Neodiprion lecontei: one gene and its partner. Each later gene encodes a partner of the first gene's protein in a complex. Links are inferred from orthologs where the notes say so. Each region holds a gene or a part of one and is shown on either strand. Other genes may lie near its edges.

Region 1 (3,296 bases):
TCCGCAGCGTCGAAGAACAGTCGAAGTACGTGCGCCGTTCTTTTGATGGTTTCTCCTTGAATTCAAATTTCACTCAGAGCTAATTTCAGATCGCATTCTCGATCACGTGAGTCACGTTTATCAAATTGCCGTCACCTGCAGTATAAGGCGCGGATGTTCTTCAGACTTTATTTTGTATACTGCATTATACCTAGAGTCCTTGGTTTTAAGCGTGCGCCTGATGTTGATAAAAAAAATTTGTTTTCATCAGAGATGTAGGAATGATGTAGGAACGTAGAGATACAATACTAGTTTTAAAAAAAAACTGCTGAATAATAGAGCCAGTGGTCGGTAGCGCAACGACCTCAGAAAAATTTGTAAATACATATAGGTATATTCTAGCTGCATACGGAAGAAAGCGCGGCAACCACATAGCTGAAGCAGAATTTACGAATGATGTTTGAACGGTTTATAGATAGAAGAGAAACACCTCTATGTGTATTACATACATTCAATAAATTTCTTCAAGATACATCTCACAGTTCGCTTGGAATTATTGGCGATAGATTGAGTTGATTAGCAATTACATTATTGTTTAAAAATCAGAAAAGTTTCATGATCATTTTTATTAATTTATTGTGTATAATTATCTACAATATCGATTTTTCGCGACTCTATAAAATGTATTTTCATTTTAGTTTTTATTCGCGATTCATTCCAGTTCCAACTGGACCATATCGTCTTTCCCAAATCATGCGATGTTTTTGTTTCATTAATGCGTCTCGTGTGTGACCGTATGCACCAAGGTCACCATCTGGAAAAATGATAATAATGTTTACTATGTGTACAGTATCGTGCAGTGGAGATATAGAATCCCTGAAAATCTGAAGAAACCATTCTTCGATATTAGATGTTCAGAGTACAGAAGATTCAACAAGTAAGATAAGTCGGCGCCATACTCAACATACACTTGATAAACCAATTCGTAGAAGCTTCGTTGTACTGATCCCACAGATGCCGACATTTGGCCGTTTGGTCATGTCCTTCATATAAAGTACAATCCTCGAAACGTTGTCTTAGAATATTTATGATATCGCTTTCAACCAGTCTGAAATATGAGAGAGAAACAAAGCCAAGTTTGACAATTGATAGGAAGAAGCTACCCAGAAAGAATGACCAGTAACTCGGTATAATTACTTGTCTCGTTTGAACTGAATGTTTGCTTCGTACGAGCAAACTGGATCATCCATATAACACTCATCAATGGTTGGAACACGGCGAAATTTTTGGTGGTACCAAGGATAATGTTGCTGATTTGGGACAACAATTTTTTCTAAAATTCGTAATCAAGGAATTATCATCGAGATATACATGCTTGAGAAGACACGGGCGGTCGTTCGGAACATCGGCTATTTTCGTATCATAACCTAAAAGAAGTGATTAGATAATACCTCGGAAAAAGGTGACAGGTCCGTCAAGAATATTGAATACCGCGTTAGCAAATGCGATGACAATGTTCCGTTCCTCTGCCATATTAGACAATTATTTAATTATTATTTACAACAAACAATGTTCTCAAAATAAGTGCGAGGCAGACGACAGAGAGATTTAGATCCGACTGCAGTGAATCGATGTCAAGTAATCGAGAGGTGTGTCTCTTCCATTTCGACTTGACGTTCGAATTCCAAAATCGAATATCGAGGCTTCTCCATAGTTGCCGTCATCACTGCGGTATAAAAGTGAAATCCGCAACGTACGATCCTCCATTTTCAACGCAGTCAGCGCGATGGTGAGTACGGTTGATGTCTGTCGGTGATAAAATAATCCGTTAAAATCTGTGGCATCCTGCATCGCCTGCGTCCAATTAACTCATCGAGTTACTGAGAACAGGTTTCTCTGTAATTGTAGTGCAATATTTTTTTCCTACCGTTAATCCAAAACGCCGTAAAAATTTTTCGGAAAATTCGAACCTCGTGTCGCGTCCCTTGGCTCGTCGAGAGTTTTTGGCGTTTTCGATGCAATGCTACTCCTATCAGTGATGATTTAGATTTCAATGTTTATGGTTTAAACTGATTAACCCTGATGATATTATTCTAGGGCGGTCTGAGAATTTTATCCCCTAACAAAACGCCCGTCACACGTGGCCATCTGCAACTTCTAATCTTGTATTTTTCATTCTTTGCCCACAGTCTCATAGAAAATTCAGCGCGCCCCGACACGGGTCTATGGGGTTCTACCCCAAGAAGAGGTCTCAACGGCATCGTGGAAAAGTAAAGGCCTTCCCCAAGGATGACCCTACCAAGCCCGTTCACCTTACTGCTTTTATAGGCTATAAGGCTGGCATGACCCATGTTGTCCGAGAAGCTGACCGTCCGGGATCAAGTGAGTCGATTACCCTATTTTCACCCTTCCCTAATCATGGAGCAAATTCATAGCCCTCACGCTCTAATCCTGCAACGACATGTTTATTTGCTTTTAACAGAGGTCAACAAGAAGGAAATTGTCGAGGCTGTGACTATTTTGGAAACTCCACCAATGATTGTTGTTGGTGTTGTTGGATACATCGAAACTCCTCATGGTCTTAGGGCTCTGACTACTGTTTGGGCAGAGCATCTCTCAGAAGAATGCCGTCGCCGCTTCTACAAGAATTGGTATGCGATTGATTGTAGACTGAACATTTTGAATTACCAGATCCTTAGATAGCTTGATATATCAAAGTAATGCAAAAAGAAAACATCAAGTCAACACTGTTCTTTTTACTAGTGCAGTATGTAGTTTTAGCTTCTGTGATTAGACGTGCATTATACTCTACTTGCTCTACCCCAGCTCTCCACTCGAAAGATGAGAGTAATATTCGGAATCAGCCGCCTGGCGTAATCCTCATTATGCATGGGGTTGTTCCGAGAAGGTGTCCAGTCTCCTCTCGCTATGATGAGACTGGCTCCGTACAATATGTTTAGGAACCTCGTTGCTGTTGTATAGGTATAAGAGCAAGAAGAAGGCGTTCACCAAGGCATCAAAGAAGTGGCAGGATGATCTTGGTCGCAAATCAATCGAGAAGGATCTTAAGAAGATTGTGAAGTACTGCAAGGTTGTGCGCATCATCGCCCACACTCAGGTAATTTTTCCCTTCACAGTATGGAACATTACTCCAATCTAAATATTTTTGGCCGACGTCATTGCTATTAATTCGTGCAGAAATGCGCTGGATTCTTAGCAAATGCGGTGCGGAGCTGCTTGATCTCGTGCAGTTTGGTTCTTACCGCGGCGTCGAATATTAACTCTGTCCTCTGCTTTGCAGAGTGTATGGAGACACG
Region 2 (3,051 bases), about 3.4 Mb from region 1:
GGAACTATGAAGGCAGCATATATTTCATTTTCCCTTGCATATGGCTGATCTAAAACGTATATTGTATATCTTAAATGCTTTTCTCCAGGTCTATATAAGTCCAAAGAAACCTCTCCAACATCCACAACATTTCCTTTATGAAGTCCCGAGCAAATAACTGCCATTTGTTGAGCAGACTTAATGGCTGAAATAATATCATCGGTAGTAGAAACGCGTTCTAAAGAACCTTCAACCAAGCCCACTTCAAGAACCTATTCAAATTACAAATTATAGTTAGCAGGAAAATATTTCCTTCGCGTGTAAAGTTTCTGTGTCACAAGAAAAACAAGAATCTTACCAGTGCTGGTAGCTTCTTAAATTTCGTAGCAATTACTACAAACACTGGCATTGCACTACCATCTTCTTCGCGGGTTTTTGCTTCAGCTTCGTAGCAGCGAGTTACTCTGAACATAAAATCAGCTTGAGGAAAATAGGAGAGTAACTTTCTAAGAATATGCTCTTGCAATAACGATACACAAACGTATCTTCCTCCAACTCTCAAAACTCTTGATATTTCCTGAAACACATGACCAAAGTTTCGACTGTGAAAAGCTTTTCTTTCCGTTTCACACTCCTTACTTACCCCAAACAGCTTATCTACTTGTGAAATAACATCCTCACTTTCATCGGGCATCAAAGCGTCCAAAGTCCCTTTATCTAATACGACACTGAATTTATCGTTAGGATAGCTCATTGCTGTGGCGTCCATTTGTTCAAATATCATGGCAGGTCTCTGCGTTTTATTCTGATCTATCATTTGCCTGATCACAACGTGCGATATATCGATGTTAGTGATATTCCTGAAACAATAAAACTTGCAATTAGGTACAGAGTTTTCAGCAAAGGGATGATACGCTACACTTCTTGCATTCTCTATTCAATTTATACCTAAATTCATACCTATAACCAACATCGTACAGATCCATGCTCAGTGTCGAGTTTCCACAGCCAACTACCAAAACGTCATCTTTTGGTTTTATATATTTGTGGAGATGCCCGCATAATTCTGGATACTCACCGTACCTGAAATTTATAAAATCACACAAACATAAATAAAATAAAAAAATTATTTAAATGGGCAACTGAGGATAGGTTAGGTTACGGCAGGTTAGCATTACTTCAACAAGAAAAAAATTGATCTCGTTTTACCATTCAAAGGCTTTCTTTCCACGCTTTGAAAAAAACGTATTCCAATAAGTTTGCTGACTGAATTCCTCGTGCGATTTAGGCAGTAGATCCATTTTATTTATCTTTTCAAATTTTGCGCGATCCACGCGCTGCGCTCACCCCTAACCTTTTCTTTTATTTTTGTCGAACACTTTAAACTTGGTTTCCATCAAAACCGTTTCAAAACTCAATATGCTTGTGCAGCCAGAATATCAGCGAGAGAAATCCATTAGCGGCGTCCACTGGATTCTGAAACGCGATTGGCTCATAGAAGCTGATGTCTATAGGTAACGACGATCAACGGAATTCGCCCAAATCAATGCCTGTCGTCTGCTGAAAAGCTTCTTCGTGGCGCGTGTTACACAATCGCTGTTCAACTGAGGTGTGTTCTTGCGCAGCTATCTCTAAGCCTAATCTCCAAAACCCGACCGTATGACGGCCATCTTGGGTTTTCAACCAATCGTATTCGAAATTGTTTAGAAGATGGCTTTTATTCGGCCGGCGCAGTACTGGAAGAAAACGTATCGACCGGAGGAAAACACCTTATATTCTTATTCTTACATCACAGTTACAACTTTATTTGTGGTACAGGTTCGGAGCTACGTCTGTCCGTTGGCTCGTGCCTTATAGTTTGCGTAACTAACCTCTACGATCGAGGTTTGCTGCTGGTCTCCAATAGTGATTAGTGAGAGCGAGGATGGCGGGTGTAGTTCGTCTGCAAGGGCTTCAGAGGCTGAGAAACGCGTTGACAGGTGTAACCTCAAGACGCAGCATAAATTCCTCGTCAAAAAAATGCGAAGCCAAGAGTCAGACGCAGTGTGCGGAACCCCCTAAGGAGAACTGGGTGAGCTACGGTTTCGATCGAAACAGCAAGACCATCGATCGAAATGTTATGAAGCAAACATTATTTGTCACCGTCACCCTTTGCCTCGTTATTGGAGGATTTGGCTGGTCCTACTTGCCAGATCCATTGCTCAAGGACTGGGCGCAACGAGAAGCATACCTTTTACTTCGCTATAGAGAAGAGAATGGACTTCCTCTGATTGATCGCAACTTTATTGATCCTGCCAAAATCAAACTTCCAAGCGATGAGGAACTGGGCGACACAGAGATCATCATTTAGAGAATAAGTCAATCATGTTAATTTTCTCCTTGGAACTGCATGTTGTTGCATACGATAGTTGATATTATTTAGTGTAAAGCGTTACCGCACACCTGGCGAACAGCAAACTGTAGATGTATATTAACTTACGATACTAAAAAACTTACACTCCGAGCAAACTGCTACTATACAGTCTTCATATTCACCAGCAGATAACAATAAAATTTTGTGTACTAGCGATCCGATGTTTCTTCTTTCATTCACTCTTCGTTAAAAATAATCCTTAGTCAATCTTATTCTCACAGTTTGTCTTCAGTTAAAACAGTGGAAAATAATTTTACATATTTACGATAAATTTTTTTAAATACCATTTAATATTTGTTATTATAGTTTTGTAAAACCTATGAAAAATATAATACACCTCCAAATTAATAGCAGCAGACGCACGTTGATGGAAAATAACATCTACAGCGCTACAGTACTGAGCTAATCTGAATTCTTGTCAAAATTAATTGTTGAAAACTTCTACCACTCGTTTTTTTTATCGTCATATAATCTATACAAAACGCTGGTCAGAAATAGTCTTAAGTCTGTGAAAGTACCGATTTTTGTCCTCCTTTTTTATCCAACCTAATGTCCCCATTTTGAAAATCCTTTGTTCAAATTAAAACTCGCATTTATGTGTGTATGTAAAAATGCATTTTAACGATCGAACAAGTTCATTCAAAATAATTCTAGGTAGC

What was found. The genes of interacting proteins can lie anywhere in the genome.
Region 2: the proteins of NADH dehydrogenase [ubiquinone] 1 beta subcomplex subunit 10 (region 1) and NADH dehydrogenase [ubiquinone] 1 beta subcomplex subunit 11, mitochondrial are in contact, whole or in part, in a cryo-EM structure (PDB 8BA0), measured with the Drosophila melanogaster proteins. The link is inferred for Neodiprion lecontei from reciprocal best matches to the Drosophila melanogaster genes ND-PDSW and NP15.6. Residues at the interface, in NP_651972.1 of Drosophila melanogaster: Trp40, His42, Gln43, Phe45, Thr50, Ile51, Asp52, Ala65, Phe69, Arg70, Arg71, Met74, Val75, Glu78, Ile79, Ile82, Leu83, Arg86, Ala112, Asn115, Trp116, Ile118, Lys119, Ala129, Tyr133, Gln136, Lys137, His138, Arg139, Leu140; in NP_650774.1 of Drosophila melanogaster: Gln101, Phe102, Arg103, Trp105, Ala106, Gln107, Arg108, Glu109, Gly110, Phe111, Leu112, Glu113, Leu114, Val125, Ser126, Pro127, Asn128, Tyr129, Val130, Asp131, Pro132, Ser134, Ile135, Thr136, Leu137, Pro138, Leu143, Glu147, Ile148, Ile149.

The regions. Positions count from the first base shown.
Region 1 is NC_060263.1:2,683,203-2,686,498, reverse strand, and holds NADH dehydrogenase [ubiquinone] 1 beta subcomplex subunit 10, read right to left. Parts: upstream 1,619-3,296; 5' UTR 1,513-1,618; coding exon 1,431-1,512; intron 1,313-1,430; coding exon 1,177-1,312; intron 1,088-1,176; coding exon 948-1,087; intron 794-947; coding exon 681-793; 3' UTR 591-680; downstream 1-590. Other genes in the region: 60S ribosomal protein L3, read left to right, coding at 1,766-1,768, 2,169-2,361, 2,462-2,630, 2,962-3,097.
Region 2 is NC_060263.1:6,113,275-6,116,325, forward strand, and holds NADH dehydrogenase [ubiquinone] 1 beta subcomplex subunit 11, mitochondrial, read left to right. Parts: upstream 1-1,757; 5' UTR 1,758-1,903; coding exon 1,904-2,329; 3' UTR 2,330-2,548; downstream 2,549-3,051. Other genes in the region: eEF1A lysine and N-terminal methyltransferase homolog, read right to left, coding at 1-251, 338-556, 623-839, 940-1,062, 1,189-1,280.